Daphnia pulex: one gene and its partners. The protein of the gene in region 4 purifies or fractionates together with the protein of the main gene of each other region. This does not show direct contact. Links are inferred from orthologs where the notes say so. Each region holds a gene or a part of one and is shown on either strand. Other genes may lie near its edges.

Region 1 (4,951 bases), on a different chromosome or scaffold from region 4:
ACTCGATACTACGACTAGTGTTGCTACTACAGGCAAGAATTTGCAACCTAAAGAAACGGTGATATTCATCCGTTTGGTGCAGTGGGCGATGAAAGCACTTGATGTGTACGCCTTAAATATTCCGAGTGCGGTCGGAGCGGAGACCTCTGGCAGTCTTAATAGCACCGTCGTTGGCTTTCCGGTCGGTGGGGCTTCCGCTGCTCGGCCGACTGTTCCAGCACAAACTATTCGCTCTAAAGAAGAAAAAGAAGTATTGGAACATTTTGCTGGTGTTTTCGCCATGATGAATCCGCAGACTTTCAAGGAAGTATTTGCCACAACAATTGACTACGTGGTAGAGCGCATTTACCGCAATAGCGCTTTGCAGGTAGTTGCAAATTCATTTCTTGCAAACCCTTCCACCTCCGCTGTTTTCGCCACCATCCTCGTCGAATATTTGCTGAATCACATGGAAGAAATGGGATTGAACATGGAGCGTTCTAATCTTTATTTGAAGTTGTTCAAACTTGTGTTTGGTAGCGTTTCTTTGTTTGCTGCGGAGAATGAACAAATGTTAAAGCCACATCTACCGCACATTGTCAACAAATCTATGGAATTAGCTTTGAGTGCTAAAGAGCCCTACAACTATTTCCTCCTGCTGCGGGCACTTTTTCGATCCATCGGCGGAGGTAGTCATGACCTCCTTTATCAAGAATTTTTGCCATTGCTTCCGAATCTTCTTCAAAGTCTAAACAGTCTTCAAAGTGGACTTCACAAGCAGCATATGAAGGATCTCTTCGTGGAACTTTGCCTGACTGTTCCCGTGCGGTTATCTTCACTCCTTCCTTACCTCCCGATGCTTATGGTAATAAAATTATGAGTTTTTTTTTTATTATTATTCTTTCTTTTCTAAATTTGTTATTTATTGTTTCCAATTTTTTTATAGGATCCTCTTGTGTCTTCGCTGAATGGTTCACAGACTTTGGTGAGCCAAGGTTTAAGAACCTTAGAACTCTGTGTCGACAATCTTCAACCAGATTTTCTTTACGAGCATATTCAGCCAGTAAGAGCTGAGTTGATGCAAGCATTATGGCGTACTTTGAGGAATCCAAACGACCAGATCGCACACGTTGCCTTTAGAGTCCTTGGTAAGTTTGGAGGTGGTAATCGTAAAATGATGGTTGAACCGCAACGACTAGACTATTGGGACAAAGAGTCTGGTCCTTGCATCGTTATCCACTTCCAAGAATTGAAACAGCCCGTTTCCCTGCCCGTCGAGAAGATTATGGAGACAGCGTTTTCTGCTTTGAAATCAAGTAGTACCGAGCCATTTTACCGAACGCAATGCTGGGAAGTAGTTCGTTGCTTTCTGCTATCTTCACTTCACCTGGATGACGATCGTCTCACAATGCAGCGTTTATTATCTCATCATTCGTTCTTGGAAGGAGATATTCATCCTGTGCAAAGTCCTTCGTTCCAGTGCAGTGACAAGCAAGCAAGACATGTACATCAAACGGCGGTTACTGCCATGTTCGTCGCAGCAGCCATAAAGGAGTTGAGGCAAGCAGTTCTGCCCACTATGGTATCTCTAGTCCGACACTACACTCTTGTTGCCGTCGTCCAGCAGGCGGGGCCGTTTCCTATGCTTGTTCCTGGTCGCTCTGCCCAACGGATTTTAGGCATGGATCCACTCGTGTTGGTTGATGCATTGGCTACGATTATGGGCCACGAAGAAAAAGAACTTTGCAAACCTGGACACTTGGCGCTAGTGTTGATGCTTGACACTGCATCTATTGTGCTCGGTTCCCAAGAGAGAGCTTGTAAACTTCCTCTAATGGAATATCTGGCAGAACGAATGTGCAGCCTTTGCTACGACAGAGCTTGGTATGCAAAATTGGGCGGTTGCATTGCCATCAAGTTCCTGTTTGAACGAATGGCATTCAAGTGGGTTCTCGAACATCAGTATGTATTCCTAAAGGCCCTCTTGTTCGTCATGATGGATCTCACTGGAGAAGTGTCGAGCGGCGCTATTGACATGGCCAAAGCCAATTTGGAGAAAATGCTTCTTTTATGCGCTACTCCGCTGCCAGAATCGTCTCCTTCTCCGGAAATTTTGTCTGCGCAAAAGAAAAGTCTGCATGACGTGACCCATGAACTCGTACGACAAGTGACCAGTCCAAATTCAACTGTACGTGAGCAAGCCATGCACCTATTGCAGGTTTTGGCACGGATAACAAACCAAACACCAACGGCCATCATGGAACCACACAAGGAAGTGTTGGCTGACATGATTCCGCCTAAAAAGCATTTACTGAGACACCAGCCAGTCAACGCCCAAATTGGGTTAATGGACGGTAACACCTTCTGCACGACGCTGAAACCCCGACTGTTCACCATTGATCTTAATATTGTCGAGCATAAGGTTTTCTTCCACGAACTACTATCGCTGTGCGAGGTGGACGACACTGTTCTTCTGAAATTACCTTGCTACAAGTCCGTGAGCAACTTGACCCCATTGAGAAAATCCGCTTTGCAAGCGTTAGCCGCTTGCCACTACATCACTCAGTGCCGAGACAAGATCTTGAATGTTATCTTCAAAGCTTTGAGTTGTAACAATGCTGAACTTCAAGAAACGGCATTCTCCTGTATGAAGAAGATACTGGTGGGCACTCAGATCGAAATGGAGACTGTACATACCGCCGTTCGTCCGTTGTTACTCTTGCTGGGCGATTATCGCAGTTTGTCTACCAATGTCATATTGCGCTTGTCTCACACGACTCAACTTTTCCCCCACGTATTCAACGAAAAGCTTTGTGAACAACTTCTTCAGCATTTACGCAAGTGGCTCGAAGTAGTGATCGTGGCGTTTAAAACCGGAGGAAATCGTCCAGTTGCTACCCAGACTAGCCACGGACCTTTCAGCAGCAGCAGCTTGTGCAGCAATGAAGTGAAGGTTGCAATTGGCATCATTGGACTTTTTCATCAGATTCCAGCTGCTTCGGCAAGATTCCTGGAAATCCTGTGCAAATTAGTGCTGCAAACAGAACGTGCCTTAGGATTAGAACCGGGCAGTCCTTTCCGAGAGCCCTTAATCAAGTTTCTTCTGCGATATCCTACCGAAACAATTGATTTACTTTTACGGGAAGATATCATTGCCGATGCTGATTGGAATCGGTTCCTTGAACATTTTGTTCGCCACAGTGAAGGCAAACCGTTTCGTGACGCTATTAAGGCCAACACAAATCGATTGGTTAATTTTGTGCTTGGCGGTCTGCCTTCGGAGTCTACAACACCCAAACCTCATGCACTGCAAGTGACGGTTCGAATCTTGCGCATCATGATCTGCAAGGACGACCAGTGGATATCTGAACAGCCCGATTTAATAACCGTGCTGACTAAAGCTTGGTGTTCGGGTCGCTACGAGGAAAAGAAAACTACGAGCCTTTCGATCGCTGAGCGAAAGGAGCAACGTCAACTGGCCAAAATTTTACTGTATTACTTTCAGCAGCACCCTGAAGAAGTTGAATTACTCTTCCATTTGATGCGCGCGTTGTGCGATCGCACGATTCCCGATTTCTACTTTTTGAAAGAATTTTTGGAAAAAACAGTCGGCCAATCATATGGAGCTGACTGGAAGCGAGCGTCTTTTTTCAAGTTTGTCGAGCTTTTCCGAAATCCCAACTTGGGACAAGAACTTAAAGCCAAAATTCTCCAACACATCATAATTCCAGGATTTGCCGTCAGTTTCGAGCGAGGAGAAGGAGAAATTCTCATTGGTACGCCACCGACCCCCGACCAAGATAACAGTGAAAGCGTTGTCAGTGTTTTCATCAATAAAGTGATTGATCCAGACAATCCTTTTGGAACTTCGGACGCTGTTCGAATCCTGTTGCTTCAGCTGAGCTGTTTGTTGGTTGAACAAGCTTCGCAACATATTCACGACGCCGCCAATAAACGCCAGGGAAACAAACTACGTCGCCTTATGACTTTTGCATGGCCGTGTCTGTTGAGCAAGAACTGTGTTGATCCAACCACCCGTTACCATGGCCATTTGCTGTTGAGTCACATCATTGCAAAGTTCGCCATTCACAAACGAATTGTGCTGCAAGTTTTCCACAGTTTGTTGAAGGCCCACGCTGTTGAAGCTCGCAATGTTGTCCGACAAGCACTGGAGATTCTAACGCCAGCTATGCCTCTTCGCATGGAGGACGGAAACACCATGCTTACCCACTGGACGAAGAAAATCATTGTTGAAGAGGGTCACACAATTGCTCAACTGGTGCACATTCTCCAGTTGCTGGTGCGTCATTACAAAGTGTATTATCCAGTTCGACATCATCTGGTGCAGTACATGATAACCTCGATTCAGCGCCTGGGATTTACTCCAACGGCCACGCTAGAGCACAAGAAGTTAGCCGTCGAATTGGCCGAAGTTGTCCTCAAGTGGGAGCTTCAGCGTATGAAGGATGAAGCTGATTCAGGAGGTGAGTCCTGCGATGAGACCATGCCATCTGGATCCGTAAAACGATCAGGAAATGACGGACTTCCAGAAGCAAAGAAGCCACGACTTGCCTCATCTTCTTCTTCAGGGAAAATGCTGGAAGTCAGTAAACCGATTGAGAAAACTCACTGTGATGCCATAGCAAACTTTTTATTAAGACTGGCGTGTCAGGTATGCTTTGTGTGTATGTTTTTGAGTTAGTATACGTGCTAAAATGTTTTTTCAATCTCTTATCAGGTGAACGATGCAACCTCGACCGCCAACAGTTCGGGCGAGCAGTTATCTAAACGATGTGTGGCTCTTCTGAAGATGGCTTTAAAACCCGATGTTTGGCCAAATTGTGAACTGAAACTAGCTTGGTTCGATCGACTGTTTCAGACTGCCGATTCTCCCGCAGCCGCTACTGCGGCCGCATCGGCAGCAGCAGCCGCTTCTGCTCCAAATTTCACCAATATTTGTACAGCTCTCGAT
Region 2 (5,647 bases), on a different chromosome or scaffold from region 4:
TAGGAGGTTCTGGAGGGGTGCAGTGTGCCGATGTAGAAATTAGCTTGGAAAATCTTCGCTCCAATTTGGTGCCAACCACGACAGCAACAGGAAGCTTGAATGGTAATACTGCAACGGCATCTGTTGGAAGAGGGTATCCGGCATTCACATGTAGCTTCACGGGATCAACTAGCAGCGCACTCGGACCAATGGGCTTAGGAACCTACGCCGCGTTAAATGCTTCTAATGCCGGAATGAATTCGTTTGCGTTCAACACGGCAAGAGGATCGAGTCCACGTAGTTCATTGGGCACCCAAAGAGGTAGCATTGCCTCGACGATGAGCGGGACATTGAGAAAACCGTCCGGCTCCACTCTCATAAGCCTAGCAGGAATGCTGGCCGAAAGGGATTCAGTCACAGCCGCTGCCGCCGCCGCGACGACCACTTCGACGCCCATGGGAAGTGGGACGTTAAATGGAAGTGCTCCATCCGTCCGTGAAAGACGTCCCAGTCGTGGTTCCGAGTCTCAGGAACGTGATGTTCGTTTACGTCGTACAGCACCAGAATCTAGTAGTAGCGCTACAGCTCGACAGAGAAATTCTTCCGGTAGAGGTGGCGAAGAAGAAAGACGTGGTGCAAGAGAAAGGAGTCGCAGACGAGATCGTTCTAGACGCGACCGTTTCGACAGACTTGAAACTGTCGACACTGACCGACCTCTGTACGAAACGGAGCCGTTTATGGACAACAGGATTTCTGTCGACCAACGAGTCAAGGTACTTTTTAAAGCTCTTCTAAATTGTATATTTGTAAATTAATTTACTTATTTTTTCTCTACTCAGATTGTCGATCCCAATCAAGTCTACGATACCATTAATCTGGGCCGACGAATTGATGTTCTCTGGCCAAGTCCAACAATTCGTAACCAAGGTGGAAAATCTTATTGGAAATCATGGCTTCCCGAAGTGGGTATGGAAGGACAGGTAAGAAAACTATACGCGATGGGTGAATAGTTTTCCTTTTACTGTACTTTGTGTTTGATTAGGTGGTACATCGTTGGGTGCCTAATCATCCAGATTCGCGACAAAGATCGCACGTGGATCGCGTCATCCTTCTCTTGAAAATAGACGATAAATACGTCCCAATCGCCGAATCGGCGGTCGAAATTGCATCATTGGTTAGTGTCAACATCGGGGATTCTATCGTCGTTAATGATACTAAGCTTAAAACCCAGGGAGTTGCTGATTGAAATTCCCAAACGCCGCAGTGTTTTTTTTTCGAGTCCATTAGGCTCATCGTTGTAATATGAAACGGTATTTTGGTTTGAATGTGAACCCCGAAATTTGTTCACGAACCTTGTTTTGTAAATAATGTTTGTGTTATGCGGAAATGCTATGTGTTATTTGACATTGACTAGGAAAAACCACTGTGATTTGAAAACATTGTCAATAACGTTTACCGAGTTTTTCAAATGTCGAATGAAATTTGAAATTGAGTAATTCGAAACAAATAAACTTTTGGATTGTTTGTAGTCTAGGAACTATATATTTAGATTTTTCCTTATTCAACTACCGCACCCGCCTCATAGTTACTGTTAATTATTAAAATCACGAAAATTCCCGTGTTAGTAGTGACACAAGGAGTGATGGTGAGAAAGTAAACACTTAACAGTCGCATAGAGGAGTGACTCCAGTAGCATAAGAATGCGCCTGTCATTTTATTTGGTGTCTGATAGAAAAACTTGTCGGATTTTTAAATAACAATAGCAGGGGTATGGAGAGAAAGATATCTCCATAAATCTCTCCATACCCCTGACAATAGTATGCCGGTATGCACATAGTTTGAAATTTGAATATTATGAAATTGTTGATTATGAAAGAATCGGTGAACGAATACGATCGCTCTGATACGATATAGATGTTATACCCTTGAAAAAGTAGTAGTCTAGAAAAAAATCGTGCGCAGTTTACGCCGATGCGCACCACAGCGGCAGATAGCAGAACTAAACTTTTTTTTACGCTTGACTACCTGTCTACTTCAAGTCCTTTGTTCGACAAGCAGTCGGTTCTCGTCTCGTTTCTTGAAGTAGACAGGTAGTCAAGCGTAATAAAAAGTTTAGTTCTGCTATCTGCCGCTGTGGTGCGCATCGGCGTAAACTGCGCACGATTTTTTGCTAGACCACTACTTTTTCAAGGGTATAACATCTATACACAATACACATAAAGTTGCATAGAATATTTGCATCGTTGTTGGCTTCTTGCAGATAAGGGGGCATAAAATTAATGTATATATTTTGCGCGCAAGAAAAACTCCGCGCATATTACAATTTTTGAATTTTTAAAAAATACGCTTTAGTCTCTTTATGTCATTGCCACTTCCCACTTGCCAGTGCCAGCAGACGACCAGTGACCAGACGCTTTTCTGATTGCCGAGCCTCTGTCACAGTTTTACAGACACATAGTCAACGCATAAGAAGAGCGTATTGCTAATCAAGATTACTACTCAAAGTTAAATTTACTTTTGCGGTGACAACTAATTAACATATATTTTTTTATTGATTGTTACATGTCAACAAATCTGGTTAAAATTATAGTCAGGGATGCTGTAGTCTTGACCTTGATCAATGGATGAAGTAGTTATTCGGATTCTGTTCTTTGCAAAGGCCAGAGAGTTAGTTGGAAAAGATTTTGACAATATTTCACTTTCCAGAACAACTTCAAGAATCACTGGGGCAAATCTTTTGTGCATCATTACAGAACAATTTCCAGCTCTAGAATCCATATCAAAGAACATTGTCCTAGCTGCTGATGAAGAATATGTTGAATTTGATCAGCTTATAGACATTAAAAATTGCAAGGAAATTGCAGTGATCCCACCATTAAGTGGTGGCTAGGTCGCTAGGATTCTTCATAAGCAGTGTGCTACAGCTTAATTCGCCAGAGCCCTTCAATTGTATTTTAAAATGGATATTATTAACTTAGTTGAAGAACAGCTTGATGTGAATTCAATCTACTCTAAAGTGGTTGAACATTCTACTGGAGCTGTGTCATTATTTGTGGGAACAACAAGGAATAATTTTGAAGGAAAGAAAGTAATGTCAATTTGAATAATCTAAAGTCAAATATTTCTAAATCAAATTTGCTTTATATTTAAGGTGATTAGTCTAGAGTATGAAGCTTTCAAGCCAATGGCATGTAAAGAAATCAAGAAAATTTGTGAGAATATTAGAGAAAAATGGAAGGTTAAACACATTGCATTCCACCATAGGTATAATTTTTTTTTTTACCATACTGTAGTTATAATGAGGAAACTTAAGAAACATTTTTTTGTTTGTTTGTTTGTTTTAATTACCTATTTTTCTTTCCAGATTGGGAGAAGTTCCGGTTGGTGAAGCAAGTGTTGTAATAGCTGTTTCATCCGAGCATCGAGCCGAATCTTTAGAGGCTGTTCAATTTGGGATTGACGCGCTTAAGAAGTCTGTACCAATTTGGAAGAAAGAACTTTATAGTGATGGTGCTCCTGAATGGAAAGCCAACAAAGAATGCCTGTGGACAAGTAAAAATTAAACAAATAATGCTTAGTTGTTCCTATTTGTTGTATGAATTTTGAATTCATAACAGTACTGATTCTTAACAAGTAACACAAATATTGAACCTTAATCGATTTTCCGATATCAGAACAATATTTGAAATGGTTTCCAGTACTTTTCATTAGTTAAAAATCGGAGCATGAACGTTAGTTTGGCTGTAGTTTCAATCTTACTAAAGTGATAATATCTACGTAGTGCTGTCAAGTCTGACATTTAAAATATAAGGTTTTTAAGGGTTTTTAATTCTCTTTTTATTTTTTAACTAAGCAATGTTAACATTCATTTTACTTATTATCCAAGTACTTTCCAGTTCCCAACGCTTTCCAATCTTTGCCCTTTCATTATATAATAACATATACTGTGTGATTCTAAAGATGAGTAGCTGCAATGCTGCATTCTACGCACTGCTTCAATCTATTAGACGTTTTCGTGTGGTTCGACAGCTTTGCTGCCTATAAGCTTTAAGCTAATTATCTGACGGAATAGGGACAACCACACATAGACGTCCTTTATTTAGTATTTAGTTGTGACTTCTGCATTTGTTCCCTTCACTGCCGCGTACGTCATTTGATTATTTGGCTTATAGAAGTATGGCTTAAAGAAAGCACAAGCGTTCAGAAGTTTTTATTAGTCAAAATTAAAAAAAATAAGTACGAAAATATTCTAATCTTGTTAGGTGGGGAAATTCGGGATTTGAAATTTTTTATTTCCATGAGAATGAGTTGTTGGAATATTTGCTTGATGTGATAGATGCTTAATAGTCAATAGCATGTTTTGAATTGATATAGATCAAGAAGAAGACGCTAGTCTATCTAAAAAGAGGAAAATAATGGTGGACTATGCAGCTGCCGATTGCGTTCAGATCAAGGCTTCAAATTTAGAGGTATTGTTGATCCGTTTTACTTTTATCAAGTCTTTTCTCAATAAATATTTTAAATGTTTTTAATTTTTCAGTTGGGAAAACGAATTACTGCGTTTATGGAACGGAAACGATCAGAGTCGGACGTATTCAACGTTCAGGAGTTCTGTCACAGACTACCATTAAACGAATTAGAGAATTCATGTGCTCGCACAGAGGCAGTGCTTGTAAGCAGAAAAGATAGTAAAAGTCATCTAAAGGGTAAAATTATTTTATTTTAAGGATTCAACGCTGATTACTGATTTCTTTACGTTTTAGTGTCGAGATGCGTAAATATGTGGGGACCACAAACACACTCTGAAGTTCCGGCTCCATCTTCAGTAAACACCAAATTGAATCCGACTCCTGCTATCCAAGAACGGCTACAAAATATGGAAAAACACTTGGGTTTTAATTCAAGAGAACAACCTATTCCACTGGATGTGTACGGACGCTTGAAAGCCCTTGAAGATAGAATCCTTCATTTGGAAAGCATTAGTCCTGAATATTTCGACGGACCGTTTAATCTTCAGAATAATAAAGAAGATGAAGATTTGATATCAAAAATTGAACAAAAAATGGATGAATTACGTAGAAAATTAGTATAGTACCACTTTCTTTTTTCTGGTTGTAATCTGATCAATAAAATATAATGCATCCTTCAAATTGGTAATTGCCTTATTAGTTATTAGTTATTATTGCTTATTGTAGTCTGGGAGCCGAGGGACAGAGGCGGGGCAGTAGACTTCTTGGCTACTGGCAAAAGGTTTAGGGGGAAATACTGTCATAAAGTTGATCGGGTATTATTGATATAAATTTCTACGTCCATTTGTGAAAGTCGCAATCGTCTAGCTAACATATTTTTGGAGATATTAACGGAAAACTTTCAGGGGGTAGCCGAATTTTTGATTTTTTTTTTTTCGATTTTTGACCGTTTCATCCTGGCGGATTGGCATGTCCGGCTGGTGATATTTCGATGTGGATACAAAATATGGTATATAAATGACTATATCTATACGTTGGGTAGAGCCAATAATAAGAAGAGGCCCGGAGTTGGATCTCTTCCCAGGCAATGATGACAAAAGCAAACAACAACAAACCAAATCATCCGATTGACTTTTCCGCAAGCTCCGATGCGGATGGAGTGAGGAGGAGGAGGAGGGTAGAAAATAAAGAATAAAAAG
Region 3 (4,984 bases), on a different chromosome or scaffold from region 4:
CAATCAATGCTAAACAATGTTCCAGCAGCCAACACTTTCCTATGGATGATTGATTATTGACGGAGTGAGATATTGCCGACAGAAAATAATTTCTTACCTGTTTTTTCATCATGAAACATTTGAACGATGCTCGAATTCGTAGAACGGGCGCAAAGTAATATCCGAAGAACTGACAAGCAAGCTACTTTAACATCTGGATCTGATTAATTAAAAAAATTATTATTGATTAAGGTTATATAGTCGGAAGTAAAAAAATGTATACCTTTGTTTTCTAAGAAAGGGGTGCATTGCTGAACAGTTTTAGAAACCAATTCTATTGGCAGCTTTTCGTAAGGAAATACAGTAGCTGCGACTGCAAGGCATTTGAAAATCTGGATAAGAGCACTGGCTGATTGTTCGGCACTCACGGAGAGAATCAGTGAACGCTGTACTGCAATGACAGTTTCTGCAAGTGTTTGGCTCAAGGGAATAAAAGCCCCTGTTCTATTCTCTTGATACGCTGCCATGGCTAGGGTCGGCTGGATCGCTTGTAAAAGCGAAGACAGAGCAACCACAGCGCTGCACCGCACTTTGATTGAAGAATCCTTCAATATCGGGGTGACGAGTGAGTGGCGGTAAACTTGTCCTTGAGACGAATCAGGCAAAAATGAAGACCAGTAACCCATTACGGATCGTTGTTCACAAAATTTAAAGGCAGCCGACAACATTTTCAAAGCGTTGGAGCGGACTTTTGCCTGGGCTTCTTTCAGTCTTTGATGAGACTGCACATCAGAATCAGATAGTTCCGAGTCTGAGCTGCTGACAGGAATGTTGTTCTTTGTCCACGGTTTATTTTTCGTTTGGAAATGGACTTCAATGTCAACTTCCTCGATGTTGCTATCTCGATTCTTGGATTGAACTTTGCTGGGAGGACGTTTCTTTCTCACCTTCGGATTCTTCGTCTGATCTGACTTGGAAGAAAGTTCCACAAATGGAAGGGATGATGGACGAATTGGAGCGTACTTTAGTGGCTGACCAGCGATTCCAAAAAGCATGTAGTATCGTGCTAGACCTTAGATAAAGAATATATATCATATCCAAATAAGCAGGTCTCCGAAATGTGCAGCCTTACTAAAGATACTTTCCAAATGAGCCACTGTTGAAGCAGTAAATCTAACAAATGTATTCTCTAATCCATAGAAACAAAGACTAAGAACCTAGTAAAATAAATGAATGTGGTTAAGAAATTTCTTCATGACATTATAAGAAACACTGTTTTACCTTGAGAAGGTTAAGATTGTTTGGATCGGAATTTAGGTGTTGCTCTTGGAATTTTATGAACTGGATGATACATGTGTTAATTACATCCTTTGATATTGTAGACCAATCCTTTTCTCCCGAACAGTTGGTAAAATTGCAGAGAATTTTCAGAATGAGAACTGTTTGATTATTGATTTGTTGTTCTTCATTCAATTTATTGATCAAGAATCCAGAAGGACTAAGCACTTTCTCCAAAGCCTAATTTAGTAATTTCAATGGGAAACATTATTGTTCAAAATTTTTCATTCATTCCCAGTTTCAGACCTACTTTAGTTTGTTTAACTTCTTTGAAGTTGACTGCCACAGCAAGACAATTGAAAATGTCAGTAAATATTAAATGATTTTCATTCTTAAGGGATTTTATAATCCAATCAATTAATTGCTCTGATGCTTGACTTGTTAAGTGTACATTTGGAAGTTGTAAAACTTGTTCCCATATTTGACAAGTCTTGGCAACTTTAAAAGATTCTTCATGTTTCACAATTTTTAAAACATCTGATACTAAAATTACAGAATCCTATAAACATAAGATTTTAAACAGTGAAATGAATATAACTTTTATGGAATCTTACTTGAACATTGACTGACGACGATTCCAATTCTTTCCTTTTAAGATCGAAGAAAAGGGTGTTCAGATTATCCAAGAAATTTGTTATTTCTTCCGGATTTGCATTTTTCTTATCTAACAATAGGTTGAGCTTTTCTCGAACCCCTGTCAGATAATTTGTGTCTAATGATTTAAGTTGAGAAAGAGCCATGACTCTATCTCGATTGTCACACTTTGTTTACAAATTGAAGGTCCTTGATTTTTTCGACATTTTCGTCTGCTATGTGTCGACGAAGTACCGAAGGCATCCGCTTGGTTTTTTTTTTTCTTAATTGAAAAATGTTTAAGATTAATGAAAGCGTGGTTCATTCAAAAGTTCATAAAAAATAAAGATTTTTTTTTCCTTACTAAATTTTGGGAAAAAAATTGAAATAGTTTCAAAATTAGCTTTGGCATTGAGGCAAATTCAAATATGTCTAGCTAGGCTAGCAGACTACCACACAATACCTTCTTTTAGGGTTCAGTTCAGACTTCAAACAATAACAAATGGAGTTTTAGAAAACACCGGTTGATATTACTATTTGGTACACGAATTATACCAACACAACTGATATTTTGTAAAAATTAGCAAAATTCTCAATCTCCTAAAAATGCCAGCTGCTGATGTATCCACTAATTCTTCCACCGATGGATGGTACATCTTGGGTAAGTTCATATTAACGACCAACAATGTCAACATTTCCTAACTACATTTAATTCGACATGTTTAGAAATCCAAAAAATGATGTATGGATTTGGCGACAGCAAATATTCGCTGAAAGAAACTGCTGAATTAGTAGAGAAAATTGTGAAGGAACAACTAATTCAGTTCCTGAATGCACTGTCTGAGGTTGCTGTTAAAATTAACTCAAAGAAAATTGGTATCAAAGAATTTCTAGTCTTACTTAGGTAGGTAACCTTCAGTTTAACAATATCTCAAGTTATTCAATATATTGAAGTGATTTCTGTTAAATTAGGCACAGTCCAGTTAAACTGAGAAGATTTTGCACCTATTTACAAGCCAGTGGGTTTAAGGATTTGGCAAAAGAAGATGATTTGCCTAAAGACATAATGACTGAATTTTCTGATCTTCACACTGGAAATAAAAAACTGAATTCTGCTCTTGCATTCCTACAACACCTTGATCCATCATGTTATCTGTGTAATGTGGCAGATCCATCTAAACCTTTCCTGTTACCTGATGATGCCCTCAAGGAACGAAATGAAAGGATTGAGAGAATGACATTAGCCATGGAGAAGGGGCAGTACATTGAATATTCTCAAGTATTTTGATTCAACCTAACTGCTTTTTCAAAATCTAGATTTAACAGAATTGTTTTTGTCAGGCCAAATCTACCTCATTTAAGAGAGGCCAGCCTTCTGGTAAATTTCAAGATTGGTTACTTAAAGATTCTCCAGCTCCTGAGGTTGCTTTAAGTGCGACAGCTTGGTCTATTCTCAGTTACTTTGCTTACGAAACCATCGCACAAATAGTAGATCTGGCCTTCATAGTACGAAGAGACAATATGGCTGGGCAAGTGAGTGACGCAGTTCAACGTAACACTGCACCAAGAGTATCTCCAGCGAATGCTGATTTGTTCAAGGTAAAAGGATTAAAATGAATGTTACAATAATTATAATCATTCTTTAAAACAAAATTTCCGTATTTTTAGCCGACATGGTCAAATTCGATGAAACCTCTTCAAACAGCGGAAGTCTCTGAGGCCATCAGACGGTTCAACAATACACACAACTCAATTTTTTCTCCATTCCGAAGAAATGGTGTTCCTCCTCCTGGACATCGACTTCTGGCACTGTAATTTAAACGTACTGCAAGGGCTTCAAATTCAATATGGCGAAAGCTGCGTCGTAAATTGTTAATATCACTTTCAACATCCAAATTCGTGCGTGCATTGTTGGATGCGATCGGTTGTGTTCATCCTAAAAATAGGAAACTTTAATGTAAAATTGTATGCAAGAAACCTGAATAAAGAATACTCACACATAGGGTGCGAACTGAACTGTAGTAATGGGAATAATCCTGCGATAAAAATAGCAAAAATCGCCATAACTCTGAAGTTATCTTTGCGATGCGAGTGAGTGAAAATTTGTTCAGCATAGGAACAAATCCAGCAATATATTTGGAGGTGATTTCAATTTCTGCTTTATGCTTCAGCAACTTAAAATTGGTCGTATCCAAACTTGGCAGTGGAGGGTAAAGTGAGCAATCCACTCCATCAGAAAATTTTTGAAGTATACAGGCAACCCTACTTCTGTTGTACAAAACCTTTATTGCTTCTAAAATAGAAATGAAAAATTCAATAATTAGTTATTAAAAAGGAACCATGATTTTGGTAAACTGAATACCTCTGAATTGAGGATCAATTTCTAGTCCAGCTAGTCCTACCGCATGCATTGGTTTTGTGGTGTCATTGTGCAAGAAATCATAACTGATAACAGCCTCTGTGATCCATGCTTCAGACATACTTTTACCTTCCGTTGGATGCCTGGATTTAACATGCAACTGTCGTAGCCTTCAAACACAAAAAACACCTACATAGTTAGTATATTAAGGCATTTTAGAGTAAATTGAAATTACAGTTTTTTACCTCATATATTCTTCAAATGATGTCGTCACATCCTTTTTTTTGGTAGAAGGGTTGATAACTGGTCCCACAACACAAGTGATGGTTGAACTCAAGGACTTGTTATCAGAGTTTTTAATACTTGTAAGAATGATTTCAGTATTCTGATCTTTGTAGGCAAAGATATTGCTCAGAACTCTGCTTGCATATTGTGCTCTCATATCAGTAAGGGTGATATTGCTGTTGCATCTCGTAGTCACGTTAGACCGACCTCCACTGATCATCAAAGGCTGCAAAAAGAAATTAAATAGGTATTCACTTATATTTCATTTTCAGCAAAAAATAAACCTATTTACAATCAGAGTCATAGAGTTGAGGGTTTCTTTGAATACTGCTTTGAAATCAACATTGTTTTTCGTTGATTTTTCCATTGTTATTCGAAAATCGAGCCGAGCCAAGTGTCTGCTTCGACTAAACAGCTGATCTCAGAGACAATGTTGTCAAACATTCAATT
Region 4 (5,453 bases):
CACAAGTACGATTGTTATTTCTTGTTTCTTGACGAACCTTCGTTAAAAATACTATAATATTTGGTTTTAGGAAATTCGCTCCGCGCTGCTCTGTTTGTCACGATCCCATCATGCCAGAGCCTGGACAGGAAGAAACTGTTCGTGTTGTCGCTCTGGATCGGAGCTTTCACGTACAATGTTACAAATGCGAGGTAACTTGGCATATATTTACTTTTCTAATTGTCAACATCCTAACATGGTTTTTTGGGATATTAGGACTGCGATTTAGTTCTATCGTCGGAAGCTGAAGGGCGCGGTTGTTACCCGTTGGATGGGCGTGTCCTGTGTAAATCCTGCAATGCCATAAGAGTCAATGCGTTGACTTCCACCACTTCGACCGAGCTTTAAAGAAAATATTTCACGTTTTAGAAGACAAATGGAAGGGAAACTAAACAAGGAAAATGTGTCGGTGACTTTTAAAAAAATATATTTCCGCTATGTAACTCTGTATTAAATGACGAGTGCCTGACGACAGGACACAATTAAACGACATTCGACCATTTATTTGGTAGCCATAAAAAAAATAATAATCGGTTGGAATTTCTACGCCTCTTAATATGTATTCGGTGTTTCTATTTGCGGCGATTTAGAAGCGTCGTTTATTTTAATTATTTTTGATGTTCCGCATACCACATAATCCTCCCAAACGCACAAAACGACTGTCTTCCCTGATGTAGAACAATACAGCTTAGATCATAGTCATGTGAACATGTCATCATCATCTGTGTCCAGAGTCACTTCTGGTGGAACAGTCTCGATTTTCTTCTTCTTCACCAATGCTTTCCCCTTGTCTATTTTTGCATTATCCTCTGAGTTGGTTGATCCTAGTGTTTCTACTATGGCTTTCTGTAATAATTTTTCAATGGACTCAATTGGCTTCTCACAATGTTTTTACTTGAATACTTACTAAATCTTCATTCCTTCGAACCAGCAGCTTCACATCATCTCCATTGATTGTTGTGCGCTTTCCATGCCTCAATAAACAAATGTAAATAACAATGCATACATCTTATTTTAACATAAGCGATCAAGAAAATTAATACTTGGCAAAAGCTTCCAAATCTTGTGTAACCAGCTTGATCTTTTGCCAGACAATTTCATTTATTGTTGCTATCACATGCTTGTCAAAACTAATGTGAGTTCTAGCTTCCTGTTCTTCACACATTTTACCCACGGTAAAATGCAATGACGCTTTCAGCCGCTGTAAGTAAAAACGAAAATTATGTGCGATTCATGGTCTGCTAATAGATTTGCTTACTTCTTCGTGATCCATATTTACATCCAGGTTATTCCCCCATACAATTACACAGGAAAGTACACCTGAAGTTTAGTCCTTCAAGAAACAGATTTCGTAAACAGGGTAAATTTTTTAAATCTTCAGACGTAAATTCATAATTTCTTATGTTGTTGACTTGTTGTTAAGTGAAGTTGGAGTCAAACATCAGTGTCGGATTTTTTCAAATCGTATTTTAAAAGGCGATTTTCTTCACTTGTTTTTTTCGACAGTTTTTTAGTTTCTCACTTGCTGTCTTATGTCAAGTTTAAATTTTAAAAAATCTTTTCTTCATAAAATTAATTTTTATGTTTCGTTTTTCCGTTCCCAAAAACATAAGGATAAAGGTAAATGTGGCAATCTTGCGCCACCGGGGGTAAACAAAAATTTTCGCGACGCGCCTGGATTTCTGCTAGAAATCCCCGTAATTCCCCTAATTGCGTACTTCTGAGTTCAGTTAGTATATTTATGACGTTCACTAAAAGTGATGTACAACTACAAGAAAGGATATCAGATTTTGGTTTCCCGTGAATTTCAAGAATAAAAACATTTCCAATATGACTGACACTTCTAACCCAGTTGCGGCAAATAACAACTCAGCTGCTGGCGTTGGTACGAATCGTATGAACAACATTCAAAAAATTCAACTGCGGAAGCAGCAGGTTCGTGAATGGCCACATCCTAAGAAATTGGAAAAGCTAGCTGTTTATTCAAGTTGCAAGGTGGGTTTTCATTTTCAATGTTCTATAATGAACATGCTTTATTTCTTAAGATTATTTTTATTTTTATAATGAAGAACCACTTAACTGAGACATTTCTCCATAATTATTTTTTCAGTTTGATGAAAATTGCAAATGCAATGGATGGAAAAATCCTACTACACCACCAAATGTCAACAATACAGGAATAAATGTGGTTCTTCCATCAGCAAATTTAACTGATCCATGCCGCAGTTGTTCACATAACCTTTCAGATCATGTATCTCACTTGATAAATTCCAGTAATGAAGAACTAAACCAACTTTTAAGTCTGGTAGTGGACATAGAAAATTTATTTGTCTGTGTTAACAAGGAAGAAGATCCAGACAACAAACAAGTCTACTTTTGCCTTTTTAAAGTAATAACATTTGAAATCATTTTAGTGAAACAAGTATTATAAAAATGTTTTCTTAAATTTTCTTATTTTTTTGGAATATAGCTCTTGAGGAAATGTATAATGCAGATGACAAAACCAGTTGTAGAAGGGCCTTTAGGCTCTCCACCCTTTGAAAAACTAAGTATTAGCAAGGGTGTTACTAATTTTGTCATGTTCAAATACAGTCAACAAATCCCCAAGGTAAGAAATCAAAGTTATCCTTTAAAACATTAAATTAAATTTATTGTGTTCATAGGAGTTTCAAAAAATGTGTGATCTTGCCAAAATGTTTATCCACTGTTTAAATCACTGGAAATTGGAAACCCCTACTCAGTGGAAACAACATTATCCACAAGCTGACCTCTCCGTGTATCGAATTAGTTACACGAGGTAAACCTATTTTCAGTTTAAATTAGCTTTTGAAATTTTATTTTTAACTTAAAAATATTACACTCTGGCAGGTGGTTATGCTATTGCAATGTTCCGAGCTATTGCGACTCCCTACCGCAATATGAAACTAGTGCTATTTTTGGTCGGTCCTTTCTTCGACTGGTCTATTCCACCGTGCAGCGACAGCTCATGGATCGTTTCTTAGCCGAGAAAGACCGACTGCCACCCGAACGACGGGATATGATCATAAATAATTTTCCGAAGTTCTTGGCAGACATGGAAATGGAACTAGGAAATGATGCATCGCCTGTGTGGGATCCGTCGTATGTTCATCGACTCCCAAATCAACAGGAGAACATCAAAGGTATTTATTTCATTGCTTTCCAACTTATTAATGTTTAATCTAATTCTTGATAATTCTTGATATTAGAGGAAAATGTAACCCAGTCCAGCAACGAAGCAACCTTCCATCGTTTGACAAACAGCGGGATTGTCAGATCAATTTCCAAAGATGTAGAAAAGTAATGTCGAAACTTCATGTCCACCCTATGTCTACATGGAAATAATTTTCAATTTTAATTAGGAACTTGTTAAAGCGGCAAGTTGACAGCGAACCTAGTGTGGAAGGTGATGCGAAAAGGGTACGTTTGGATCATGACATATCTGAAGAAACTGTCGCCACAATTCTTGCCGTAATTAATGACCCCAAAAAGATGCTTGGTCCCGAAGTAAGCCAACAAATTTCTTACGTGTAAAGAATTAAGCTCTTCTAAACAGAGCTTTATTTTGGTTTTCCAGAGCGTCTTCCCAGAAAATGCACCAAGAGACGAAGCGGCAAAACAGGAAGAACGTCGTGGTTTGATATCCTTTCACGTAGTGGGAAATTCTCTTACTCAGACCGTATCCAAACAAACCATGTCATGGTTGGTTGGGTTACAAAATGTTTTTTCGCATCAATTACCACGAATGCCGAAAGAATACATCACACGGTTGGTTTTCGATTGGTGAGTCCTAAATTTTGTCTCTTATACTTTAAATCACCAAAGTTACAAATGTTATCCAATTTACGTGTAGCAAGCATCGGACTTTGGCGTTGATCAAAGATGGTCGACCAATCGGTGGTATCTGTTTTCGAATGTTCCCCATCCAAGGTTTCACCGAGATCGTATTCTGTGCCGTTACCTCCTCAGAGCAGGTTAAAGGGTACGGAACTCACTTGATGAATCACATTAAGGATTACCATATCAAACACAATGTACTTCACTTTCTTACCTTTGCCGACGAATACGCCATTGGTGAGCAAACAAAATTTTTTATTTTCAAATAATTTTCCTAATGCAGTGTGATGTGCAGGTTATTTCAAGAAACAAGGGTTTAGTAAAGAAATAAAGCTTCCAAAGTCCGTTTATAACGGTTACATCAAGGACTACGAAGGAGCAACTCTAATGGGATGCGAGTTAAATCCCCGTATTATTTACACAGAGTTTACCGCAATCATTCGAAAGCAGAAAGAGGTCTTACCCAGATTTAATATCCAACATTATTGTTCCTTTCTTAATTGTTTTTTTTTTTTTTAATTTTTAGATTGTCAAACATCTAATTGAAATGAAGCAGCAAGAAATTAGCCAAGTTCATCCAGGTCTCAATTGCTTTAAAGATGGTGTTCGAGAGATTCCTATTGACAGTATTCCCGGACTGAAATTGACGGGCTGGCGACCATCCAATGGCTACGGATCTAAGCGTCTAATCGAAGAGACTTTTGATGCAGAGCAATTATATCAAGCTTTACGTTCGGTTCTCAATCAGGTTTGGTTGCTTTAATTTTTATGAAAAGAAGAAAACATGTTATTCCATTTTTCTATATAGGTGAGAAGTCATGCCTCTTCCTGGCCCTTCTTGAAACCTGTTGATCGAGCGGAAGTACCAGATTATTACGACCACATCAAATTTCCGATGGGTAAGTTTACAATTGTGTTCAATTGATTAACGTTCCGATGTTAATTTAGTTTCATTGTAGATTTGAAGACCATGGGGGATCGATTAAAAAATCGTTACTACATCCATCGGAAGCTCTTCATGGCGGACATTTCACGCATGTTTTCCAATTGTCGCCACTATAATGAGGCTGACACGGAATATTGCAAGTGCGCCAACGCACTCGAAAAATACTATATAGCGAAAATGAAAGATGCTGGGCTTTGGGATAAATGAAGCTGACGTTCGAATAAGAAGTTAAATGTTGACACAAGTATTTATATTACATGCACTCAATCGACGACAAATAAAATAAATATCAAGCAATATGAGAAACAAGCTGAGAAAAATTTTCATTGCATCACCTGTTTGGCTTAGTTTTCATTTCAAGAATTGAATTAATAGTTATTCAGTTTACTGTCTGCTGAGGGAGCTTGTTTGTGAGCGAGATAAAGAAAAGCAATAGATGACAGAGCACTGACAAGAAAGATAACGTCAAACCATCGATGATAGAAAGAAAACTGCAGATCTCCAAGCACTTGAGTGATGATGGTACGATACTCGGCAGGCATGTTCATGCGCATTAGTAAAACAGATGATACGAAATACATTCCCTTAAAAATTGACAAAAAGCAAGAAAACT
Region 5 (4,260 bases), on a different chromosome or scaffold from region 4:
AGACGTAATCACCCGCTCTTATTGCTAATTCCTGCGGGATCCGGATCCCATCCATTCCACTTTTCGAAAATAAAACATGAAAGCGAAAAACATGCGGGGGAAATAAACTAACAAGGCGCGAAGCAATTGATTATCTTATTCGTCGCCAAGTGCTCACAGACAGTTCACACGGCCGATCTCTAACAAAATGTGTTAACGGGAAAGCGCATGTCAAACTTTTTGACAAGAAAGTCTGTCACGCGTGTCAAGGATGAGAAATTAAAAAACAAAAAACAAAACTCCCGTGTTAAATCCTGATGGGATGATTGCTGGTGTACGCCCACGCGGATAAAAATATACAGGATAAAAAATGATGCGATTGATGTCTTTGAAAAATTTTGAGATCGGAAAAATTATATATGAAATTAACGATGATTAAAGACAGTTTGATTACCTAGTCTATTTAAAAAAAAAGATGAACCATTATTTTAGTAGAGATTTGTTTCTTAAATTGTTGTTATTTATTTATAGAGAAACTTGGGAGTAAGCAAAACTTGTTCATTTATCCGTCTCATTCAAAAGAGCGTCAGACTTATTTCTTCAACTTTTTGTTTTTCCATCCACGTCTGATTTACAGTTTCCGATGTGGGCGGATGTAGGTCTGAAGGGGCCAATGGTAGACAGCGACACAGCGTATATCAGTTTTGTATCCGTTGCCTGGAGTCGGAGTGGATGAGTAGTATCCCGGGGCATATCCTGCCTTTTCTCTGATTCCCGACTCTCACACTTTGTGTAGGATTTGAAAATATATCTTTGGATCAAACTTGTCTTGAATTCCATGACCTGATTTGTAGGCGACTGGGGATGGTAGGAGGTTTCCGAGAAACGAATTTTATAAGTGAAAGTTAGAGTCGCAAATCAATAATCTAACTTCTCGTAATTTCGGCGTTTGGCAATCTATTATTCCCTATAGGCTATATACGGGTGTATAGCAAGCGATTATCCATTCAAAAGTTTTCAGGTACACACAACAGTCATTCCCTTGTAAGATTAGCATCGATGGAAATCTAACTTTTGGCTGCTAAAGGAAGTTTGGGTCCCTTTGACTCGGAGATGTAGAGTGGCTTGGCGAAAAGGAGGAAAGTTTGTTATCCTATTACACATGCCGCTCTTGACACTATCTAACGACAAGTCTAACGATCTTTTGCCGTCTTTTGCGTACGTCATATTTGGTGATCTCCATCCATTCCGTCAAAATCGTTATTGAATCTAATAAGAACAGAAGTGATCACGATTGTTAAAATTTTCATGTCGATTTGTTTTAACATCCAAGTGTTGTTCAAGATACAATAAATAATACTAGTAAAACAAAATCGGTTCAAGTTAGAATAACCAATCTAAGCTGCTGAAGCAACAATGTACTGTAAATACTAAATATTGGTGTAATAAAATTGATATTTCACTAGTTTGATATTTAACCTATATCTTGTCTGTTCATATATTAAGATCTGCTTATCTTCTTCGTGCTACATAAAAAAAATTATTATTTATCTTTATCATACGCCTCTTTATTATGCGACTCGCGACTGCTGGTCTAACGGGGGCGAAAAACTTATTTGTGCAAACGGTTAGAATATTACTCACAGATGGCGATGTGGTCTTGGCACTTCTTATTTTCCCGCCCTTTATTGTAGCAGAAGCAACATCGAAATCATCAACTGTGACTGTGTATTTGTTTCAGCAAAAATCTGAAGTTTTCAAGTGTCGGAGTGTTGGTTTCGGTATAATCGGAAATAAATTATTGTAGGAGAAGTTTTGACAGGTAGGATGTTTTCTTTTTCCTATGAAAATCTTGTAACAAGTGTAGTTAATTTTTTAAAAAGTTTCTAGAAATCTCTTGGAAATGACTAAATGGTGTTATTATTTGAAATAATAAGTGACATTTTCTCTCTTTATTGATTTGAATAGAATTCATATGATGAAATATATGTTTTGTTCAACTAATGTATCTAGCTGATGACAGGAATTTTGTTTTGATTTTCCCAGGTACGTAAGCAATGGCAGAACGACCTGAAGACTTAAACCTTCCCAACTCAATAGTAGCAAGAATCATAAAAGAATCCTTGCCAGAAGGTGTTAATGTGTCTAAAGAGGCTAGAACCGCCATTGCTAAAGCTGCTTCTGTATTTGTTCTCTATTGCACATCATGCTCTAACAATCTGGCTATGAAAGCTAACAGAAAGGTGAATCACAGAATCAGAAAATTTTGTTCCATTCTCTCAATTATTTACTAAAATTTTTTTGTTAAATAAAGATCATCAGTGGCCCGGATGTCCTGGGAGCAATGGCTGACATGGAATTTGAAAGATTTATTGAACCACTACAGGCTTCTCTTGAAGGTAATTTCTCTTTTTCAAAACAATTTTTAGAATGTCAACATGTTCTTTTCTTTTACAGTGTACAAGAAAGCACAGAAGGAACGCAAAGAAGCTATGGCTAAACGGAAACAGGAAAAATCCGACAAAAAACCGGAAGATATTGAAGAAGGATCAGATGAAGGTGGAGAAAATGATAATGGAAATGATAATGAAAATGACAATGAAAATGATAATGAAAATGAAAAGGAGAATGAGGATGAAGAAGTGGATGAATGATCTTAAATGACAAAAAAATGTGTGATAAAATTTGTATTCGCACGACAAAAAAATTAATAAAAGAAAAAAAAACACGACCTCAAATAGTTTGTATACTGTGAAAATTAAAGTGTGATTTACGTCTCGAAACGACAGTAGCAACAGACAAGATAAAAATGAAGAAAACATTTTTTTTAGGATGCCAAAGGCACAAAGATATGACCGATGAAAAGCTAAAAAGCAAATAAATAACATTATGAGTGAACCTGCAGTCGTTTAACGATGGTTGCCCGGCACATTGGGCATTGATTTAGCTTGTTGCCACATCCAGAACAACAACATAAGTGTCCACAAGAAAGGAATATAACTTGGCACTGTTTAATATAAATGCAATTAGAATGAATTCGTTTTGAAAAATTGAACTGTAATAAATGTAAGCTTACTGAACTGTCCAAGCATATGACGCAATTAGTTTCCATAAAAACTTCCATCGGAGGAGCGGATGCCACCTCCTCATCATCGAGTACAGAGGAAGGCGCACTTGGAAGATACTGTTGTGCATGTTGAATATTATCAGGCATGTTATCGATTAGACGCTGATACTGGACAAGCCAATAGTCGGCCGCTTGGTTCTGTCGCTGGACTTCCATTTCTTCCAAGAGGTGTTTTAGATCTTTACGACGCAGCTGCTGTTGCTCTATTAACTGGGAAAGCAAGTCAGCCAGTTGTATACGATTTTCCGAGAGCAAGTTCTAGGATCGATAAGAAAAAAAAAAGGAATTAATAAATGACCAAATTAAAGTCATACGTATTTCAGACTTTGCACTCACGTTAGTAATATCGATTTGCCTGCTTTTGCGCTGTAATTCCCAAGCGGTAAGCTGATTAAGTTTATCTACTACGGCTCGAATATCTTCGCTAAGCTGGGTGGTCCGCCGATCACGCTGGGATAACAATGACGAAAACGCTTGGTACTGCCAAGATTCTTCTTCTAATAACGACATGACTAGAGCAGCTTGGTCTTTTTGCCGATGCTGCAAAATTTGGTCAATCTGACGATTTTTTACTTCATCCCTAAAAATTAACCATAAAAATCTTTTAATACCAACAAAATTGTGTTCGATAATAATGCTTAGGCTTACTCCATTTGCACCACATTGAATAGGGTTTTATTCAACATTGTTTTCTGACTGGATATGTCTTGTTCAAGCTGGGTTTTCATAGCATCTGTTCAAGAAGTGACCGGATTTTTACAAGTTATAACATTTCAACTTGTGATAATGATTTACTCAAAATATCTTCTTTTCTAAGATTCTTGAATTCTTCTAACTTGAGGGCCAGTAGGCAATGACATTGATTTTCTTCTGCTTTTACTAGATCCTGAAGTTGTATCTGATCTCTGTGGGCCTGGATATTTTTTAATACATAAACAATACTGGCTTCCATTTCAGCTTCAGTTTTATAAAGCTGTTCTGAAAACTTTTGCCTTGATGCTTCCTGTTGCTGATGAATCTCTGCAAGTCGACTTTCAACTTCTTTTTGGCTTTCAGTAATATGCTTCAGAAACTGTAATAATAAAAATTGAAATCACAACAAAAAAACAAAATAAATTTAAATTATTTACGGAAATTTAACCTTGTTATGATTT
Region 6 (5,536 bases), on a different chromosome or scaffold from region 4:
CACTGGTGTGCAATCGATCTCATCAGCGTTGCGATTATCGAAGCTTCTTTACAGCCCACTCGGTCGGGAAGAAAAAGTACAGGATCGCATCGATAATCAATTCTTTAGGGAACTAGGAATATCGTCGTATGGCTTTGTTATCGTGTGCCAGTCAGAGTCAGAATCGCCTCCAAGTTCGTTGTCAATGAAATGGCTTTGTAGCGGATGAATGCCAATTCTGGCAACTACTTCAGTCCTCTTTCGACATCATTATCACTCCAGTGTCGATGATACTTTCCACTGTTAACGTGTTGTTTGTTGATGTTGTTCGCTTTTTTAGAGGGGTCGCGACCTACTAGGTGGATCAGATTAAGGCAATACACGCGAGGTACGCATCGAGTCCCGGTGCCCCAAGTGTCGCCGGATCGTAACCCAAACGACGGCCTGTGATGCAAGGACTTGCCGGTAACAACAAAGAGAGTCCACGTGCCCAAAAAGGGCTAGAGGGGCCTGGTATGAAATGATCTTGGGTTTCCGTGTTGACTTGGATTTCAGAGCTCTCTTTTAGCTTCATGATGCGGGCTCAGTCAACTAACGATGATGCATGTAAAAGGAAGCAGTTGAAATAGGGGGGTGAAGATATGCCTACCAGAGAGAAAGAGAAGGGAGCGGTCGTCCTGGAGACCAGCTCTGCTGGCGTGACCTCCCGCCTGCCTAACTGAATGACACAGCCAAGGGATTCCAGTAGATTTTGAATGCGATCGATTCCTTTCCCCCACTGCACCCCAAGCGCCAATCCGAGAACCTCGGACTGTAAGAACGACTGGAGATGCTCTCGTTTGTGTGGCGTCTACGAGAGGCCGAAGCACAACAATAATAACAACCATCAACACAGAGAGGGGAGAAAAACACGGGACAATGTCTGTTTTCATAGGAGGAACAGTTTCTTTAGAGCCCTATCGTGTGACTCCTCCTCGAATCTGGAAGAGATGGATTCATCGGGTGGAAGAGAAAGGCGACGGAGATCAGGGATGGGAATGGATCAAGAAAGTATGTGTGTTTGGACGCTGCGCACAAGTCCAAGTGCCGTCGTCGGATTCAACCCCCACTCCTCCTTCCCTTCCTCTTTTTCCTCCCTCCTGACGTGATCAATACCTGAGCTACAGATTCCCCCATGCCCTATTTCAACCCCGCCAACGCATGTACAGCTGTGCAACCCCCCACCCATTTGCAATCGTCGCAAAAAGAAACAATTCACTTCCAAATGAACTCACTATCAAATTTTACCACCTGATATCTGCCTCTCATACGAATGCTACTGTTTGGATAAATTAGGGTCAGACTGCTGCATGTCACACAAGATTACTCAAGGTTTACTAGGCAGGATGGTATAAAAAAACCTGTGCTAATTATGAAACGAAGAGAGGAATTTTGAGAACATGCTTTGATTATGAAGGTGTCATGTTTCACCATCCAGAACTTTTATGATTGTGCAACACAGCGGTCTCCTTACCTTGAAATGAACGGATAGCTGCAGTACACACAAAGCAGTAGGAGCGAACTGGAAAATTGTGTCTAAAATGTCACTGAAAAATGGCTGTTTCAAGGAAACTCAGGATTCTTCAATAATTATTGAAAACGAAGGATGTCCCCACACGCACTCGACCCCCCTTTGGGTTCTTCAAAGCAAGTGACACAGATGGTGTAGCCCACACATATCACAATATGAAGAAAAACAAGGTTTCCACAGCTATTTGTAGAAAAAATAAATTGCACTTCACGAAGTTCGGTCTGGAATTCCTCTCTGATAGGCCGCAGATTCAAACTTTAATTTCAAACAGACAATAAACTGTCATGAAACGTAGATAATGTTAGTGTCACAAAAACTCGTTGCCTTTTCACTCGGTAGCCATATTGGAATAAACTGAAAACACCAGAGAAAAGAAGACTGGAGACCCGCAGACGAGGGAATTTTACAGCCCTGAAACTAGCGCTGTTTCAGACATAACGGCCACATAATAATATAGTGAAACACCAACTAAATTAAATAAATACATTGGCCTATGGAATTTGTAGTTAAATGAAATCGATAAAATATCATACAAATTTATATTAAGCATTCTGCATTCATTAAAGAAATACATGAAAATTTGAAAAATTTGAAAATCAAGTCTAAAACTTTGAGTTGCAATTTCCCTGATTTTATTATTTCGAAAACTGCGTTCAAATATTTTTAACAAGTAATTTAAAAAAATATATTAGACTTTGATTGTCTTTTCTCTTTCGACTTAAACGGTTTAAGTTATCCAAAGTTTTCATTAAACCATTCAAGGAGGCGCTGCTATCGTTTGACGAATACCCAGTCTCATTTTCTCTCTTACGTTGTAAATCGAAATATCGAATCGAAAGTTTGAAAGTTAGGTATCGATTCTAGTCCAAGCTTTTTTGACAAGTAAACAACGTAAATCGTACATTCGTACGTGAATTGTCTTGTCAAATTTAAAATTTGGGCCGAAAAATGGTTCCGGGTAAAGGTAATATCTCCAAAGGAAAAGGAGCTACAAATGTCAAAGGTTCAACGTCAGCCACTAAAGTCAAAAGGGAAAGAGTTTCAGAACCTGAGGACTCAGATGAAGAAGTTACTCTAGCTGATGTCCGAGCTGTCGACTATGGAAAGGTTTTACCTCGTTTCACATCCAGTAAGAACTAATTTTTTTTGTTTTTCTGTTGGTTTTCTAATTAACAAAGATATAAATATAATCAATTGTTTATAGTTACGGCTAGATCAGAAGAAGGGGGTGTTATGATGGATGATTTGGACACCTTACAAATGGAACTAGAAACACTACTCAATTGTGTTGTTTTGCGTTCCTTAAATTTACAGAGAGAAATTGCAGGAATGACTGAAAAGGTATTCATCAAAGTTTTTTTTTCATCTTGTGTCTATTTTCTGTTTGCCAACAACACTATGTGTTTTTTTTTAGCCTCCATCTCCTGGAAAACGATCAAAACAAGAAGAGCGTTCACCTAAAAAGTTCAAAGATCAACCAGGAAAGCTTAGAGATGCACACACACCTCCACTTTTAAAGCAGATGAAAATTAAATCTGCTCTAGCTGTACCTAGTTTCATGAAAAGTAGTTTTATTTACAGTCAAGTAATGATCTCTTTGATTTTATAGAAGCCTATCCCACCAGAAGGAGTTGTTGAGGAAATGCCTCCTTTAGAATTAATGAAGACATCAACTGCCAAAAATGATACACCAAACAAATTTTGGGCTTCTGTAGAACCATACTGTGCTCTTTTTACAGATGATGATTTAAAGGTAAAATGATTTGTATAAGATTAACATAACTTGGAATTAAATTTTTTTTCTTGTGGTAATTGATGTTTTAACTAAAGCTAGTAGAAGAACTAATCTCAACTCATAATGAGGATGAAGAATACCTCAAAATTCCTCCTCTCGGTCGCCACTATACACTTCGGTGGGCAGAAGATGATTTACTTCAGGAGCAAAGAGAGGGCTCTCGTTTCGGCGAGAAAAAGAAGATTACCTCTGGATCTTCTGTAGGAACGGAAGAGGCTCAAAGATTAATGGACACAGCAGCTAAAAACAAGTAAAAAATTAATATTTTTTTTTCTAATAGCCGCATATTGCTTAACGATAGATTTAATAACTCAGTGCTGAAACAAATACTACATCTGCGACGGGGATGTGCGGACCCATGACCCAGCGTCTCATTTCAGCTCTTTTAGAAGAAAATATTGTAACTTCTGTGCAGGACACAATGGAATCAGAAGGGCAAGGTATATTGTTCATTGTTTTCCTGTTTAAAACTAATGCCAACTAGCGGTTCGAAATTACTGTAACAGACGAAAACGCGAAATCTACTGGCACGAAGGCAGCAATGAATGGACCTCAAGCTGCTGCACTTGAACGTCGTATTCGTCAAGAGTTAGAAGAACAAGGCATTTTAACTTCCGAAGAAGCCAACGTTAATTCGGTAATTTATTCATTCAAAACACATTTCAGAGGTAGTATTATTAACCCCCTGATTAAGGCCGATGATGAAATATTGACGGAGTTACGTCGATGCCAAGGAGAATTGAGGGCCATATCACTGCACAACTTGAAACAACTGAAACGACTGTACCGCCTCAGTCAAGAAGAAATGAAACGTCAGGAAATACGGAAAAAATTGATTGCAGCGGACGCTGAGGTATTCATTTTTCAAGTGTCATCTCTGCTTATCGAGCTCGTCTACATTATTCCCAACTTCTTTTGAATAGGTATTAGACGTATATCGTAAAATGGCTGCCGCTAAACAAAAAAAACGCCCGTTAAGCAAAAAAGAAAAAGATCAGATGTGGAAAATACTTCGTGATCGTGAAGCGATTGTCAAACAGCTGGACACGGGAACGACTAGTATGTAAATATTTTTTCAAACAATACAAGACGTGTGTGATGAAGATGAACTAAGATGGTTAATTGAACTTTGCATAACAATATAAACTTTTAACAAGCCTTGTTTATTACTTAAATCAATTAGCATGTATTCAACAATGAAAAGTTGAGGTTACTTGAAGTTGATAAGAATTTAATAAGAATTCTTTCAACTTCTCCAAAACTGAGGATTCAATTCTAGTTTTCTAATAAAGTTAGTGTACCAGTTTCTTAAAACAGACATTGGGATGAAACTTTCTGATGGATTTGGTGTCATTTGTGATTGAGTAACAGCAAAACTTGCTGCATAATTGAAAAGATTTTGAAGAGTACGTTCAGCAAACTCCTGGAATGTTGTGGTGCTACTAGGCTCTGTAATGGCACTAGGAGATTGATTGGAAATGAGGCTAAGAGGCTCAATTGAAATCCCTATTTGAGCATGATGATGTATTTCCCCCTGGTGCACCCCAAACATACTAGGGCTATAACTTCCCGGATTCTTCTTCAAGCCAGTGATTTTGTAAATGCTTGACGGTTTGTTATTGGTGAGGTTACCTAGTAGTTGCCACACTGGTGGGGCTGATAGATCTGGCTCGGGCCACCTGAAGTACACTATTAAAAAAATTATTTTGTGGTATTTTAAAATCTATCTTCCGGAGTATGCAAAAATTTTTCCTTTAACATAGAATTGTACTCTAACCAACCTGATCCACCAAATCCCTCTGGGAATGGTGATGCGCCAGTCAAAAATACTACCAAATGGTTGATATTATCGGCATCAGGAATAGTAATAACAAATTGTGAGTCTGTAATTTGTTGAAAGTTGGTCTGGACCTGTAAAAATGTATTGACAATAGCAAATCAAGACACCTACTGTAGTTGTGGAAACGTATTTACACGCGAACACAAACACTGAAACTTACCAAACGCCCCGATACAATAAGACCAAACATTTCTCAAGAAAACCACAAATTCTGATCAGTCGAAGTAACAATTGAAAATTGAATGCAATTCTGTATGTTTCAGAAACGCGAATACAACGATTTATCCTTCATTCCAAATTCTAGATGTTTTCGAAAATTCGTCGTCTCACAGACATGTCTAGTGACATCTAT

The links.
Region 1: the proteins of histone acetyltransferase KAT2A-like (region 4) and transformation/transcription domain-associated protein-like purify together in Drosophila melanogaster (affinity purification with western blotting; 4 studies listed by BioGRID). This does not show direct contact. The link is inferred for Daphnia pulex from reciprocal best matches to the Drosophila melanogaster genes Gcn5 and Nipped-A.
Region 2: the proteins of histone acetyltransferase KAT2A-like (region 4) and molybdopterin synthase catalytic subunit-like purify together in Drosophila melanogaster (affinity purification with mass spectrometry; 3 studies listed by BioGRID, with this or other methods). This does not show direct contact. The link is inferred for Daphnia pulex from reciprocal best matches to the Drosophila melanogaster genes Gcn5 and Mocs2B.
Region 3: the proteins of histone acetyltransferase KAT2A-like (region 4) and transcription initiation protein SPT3 homolog purify together in Drosophila melanogaster (affinity purification with western blotting; 3 studies listed by BioGRID, with this or other methods). This does not show direct contact. The link is inferred for Daphnia pulex from reciprocal best matches to the Drosophila melanogaster genes Gcn5 and Spt3.
Region 5: the proteins of histone acetyltransferase KAT2A-like (region 4) and DNA polymerase epsilon subunit 3-like purify together in Drosophila melanogaster (affinity purification with mass spectrometry; 3 studies listed by BioGRID). This does not show direct contact. The link is inferred for Daphnia pulex from reciprocal best matches to the Drosophila melanogaster genes Gcn5 and Chrac-14.
Region 6: the proteins of histone acetyltransferase KAT2A-like (region 4) and transcriptional adapter 3-B-like purify together in Drosophila melanogaster (affinity purification with western blotting; 3 studies listed by BioGRID, with this or other methods). This does not show direct contact. The link is inferred for Daphnia pulex from reciprocal best matches to the Drosophila melanogaster genes Gcn5 and Ada3.

The regions. Positions count from the first base shown.
Region 1 is NC_060018.1:6,522,626-6,527,576, reverse strand, and holds part of transformation/transcription domain-associated protein-like, read left to right. Parts: coding exon 1-844; intron 845-925; coding exon 926-4,651; intron 4,652-4,717; coding exon 4,718-4,951. UniProt on the Drosophila melanogaster protein: Part of the Tip60 chromatin-remodeling complex which is involved in DNA repair. Upon induction of DNA double-strand breaks, this complex acetylates phosphorylated H2AV in nucleosomes and exchanges it with unmodified H2AV.
Region 2 is NC_060026.1:10,880,927-10,886,573, reverse strand, and holds molybdopterin synthase catalytic subunit-like, read left to right. Parts: upstream 1-2,212; 5' UTR 2,213-2,938; coding exon 2,939-3,067; intron 3,068-3,130; coding exon 3,131-3,243; intron 3,244-3,343; coding exon 3,344-3,531; intron 3,532-4,353; coding exon 4,354-4,448; intron 4,449-4,519; coding exon 4,520-4,685; intron 4,686-4,742; coding exon 4,743-5,071; 3' UTR 5,072-5,136; downstream 5,137-5,647. Other genes in the region: pecanex-like protein 1, read left to right, coding at 1-752, 819-959, 1,022-1,225. UniProt on the Drosophila melanogaster protein: Catalytic subunit of the molybdopterin synthase complex, a complex that catalyzes the conversion of precursor Z into molybdopterin.
Region 3 is NC_060027.1:749,766-754,749, reverse strand, and holds transcription initiation protein SPT3 homolog, read left to right. Parts: upstream 1-2,332; 5' UTR 2,333-2,496; coding exon 2,497-2,551; intron 2,552-2,616; coding exon 2,617-2,794; intron 2,795-2,862; coding exon 2,863-3,169; intron 3,170-3,231; coding exon 3,232-3,489; intron 3,490-3,528; exon of another isoform or gene 3,529-3,558; coding exon 3,559-3,705; 3' UTR 3,706-3,706; coding exon of another isoform or gene 3,707-3,826; 3' UTR 3,827-3,887; downstream 3,888-4,984. Other genes in the region: HEAT repeat-containing protein 6-like, read right to left, coding at 1-39, 98-199, 263-1,051, 1,112-1,196, 1,261-1,497, 1,568-1,816, 1,872-2,057; DALR anticodon-binding domain-containing protein 3-like, read right to left, coding at 3,707-3,826, 3,888-4,183, 4,253-4,419, 4,495-4,760, 4,827-4,901. UniProt on the Drosophila melanogaster protein: Component of the transcription regulatory complex SAGA, a multiprotein complex that activates transcription by remodeling chromatin and mediating histone acetylation and deubiquitination. The SAGA complex predominantly acetylates histone H3.
Region 4 is NC_060028.1:7,763,903-7,769,355, reverse strand, and holds histone acetyltransferase KAT2A-like, read left to right. Parts: upstream 1-1,681; 5' UTR 1,682-1,869; coding exon 1,870-2,034; intron 2,035-2,149; coding exon 2,150-2,428; intron 2,429-2,509; coding exon 2,510-2,647; intron 2,648-2,702; coding exon 2,703-2,836; intron 2,837-2,907; coding exon 2,908-3,200; intron 3,201-3,266; coding exon 3,267-3,357; intron 3,358-3,419; coding exon 3,420-3,564; intron 3,565-3,634; coding exon 3,635-3,840; intron 3,841-3,910; coding exon 3,911-4,131; intron 4,132-4,189; coding exon 4,190-4,350; intron 4,351-4,420; coding exon 4,421-4,642; intron 4,643-4,702; coding exon 4,703-4,793; intron 4,794-4,853; coding exon 4,854-5,047; 3' UTR 5,048-5,137; downstream 5,138-5,453. Other genes in the region: thyroid receptor-interacting protein 6-like, read left to right, coding at 1-5, 71-191, 256-387; centromere protein S-like, read right to left, coding at 739-885, 947-1,013, 1,083-1,240, 1,298-1,312; Golgi pH regulator-like, read right to left, coding at 5,209-5,424.
Region 5 is NC_060025.1:6,578,713-6,582,972, reverse strand, and holds DNA polymerase epsilon subunit 3-like, read left to right. Parts: upstream 1-1,653; 5' UTR 1,654-1,801; intron 1,802-2,002; exon of another isoform or gene 2,003-2,025; 5' UTR 2,026-2,036; coding exon 2,037-2,222; intron 2,223-2,293; coding exon 2,294-2,378; intron 2,379-2,436; coding exon 2,437-2,633; 3' UTR 2,634-2,710; downstream 2,711-4,260. Other genes in the region: E3 ubiquitin-protein ligase LRSAM1-like, read right to left, coding at 2,867-2,986, 3,056-3,364, 3,443-3,686, 3,755-3,839, 3,902-4,178, 4,248-4,260. UniProt on the Drosophila melanogaster protein: Accessory component of the DNA polymerase epsilon complex. Participates in DNA repair and in chromosomal DNA replication. Histone-like protein which promotes nucleosome sliding of ATP-dependent nucleosome remodeling complexes.
Region 6 is NC_060019.1:11,486,996-11,492,531, reverse strand, and holds transcriptional adapter 3-B-like, read left to right. Parts: upstream 1-2,345; 5' UTR 2,346-2,497; coding exon 2,498-2,678; intron 2,679-2,753; coding exon 2,754-2,890; intron 2,891-2,963; coding exon 2,964-3,095; intron 3,096-3,158; coding exon 3,159-3,302; intron 3,303-3,379; coding exon 3,380-3,594; intron 3,595-3,659; coding exon 3,660-3,784; intron 3,785-3,850; coding exon 3,851-3,981; intron 3,982-4,038; coding exon 4,039-4,197; intron 4,198-4,267; coding exon 4,268-4,411; 3' UTR 4,412-4,501; downstream 4,502-5,536. Other genes in the region: protein OPI10 homolog, read right to left, coding at 4,591-5,033, 5,126-5,255, 5,345-5,374.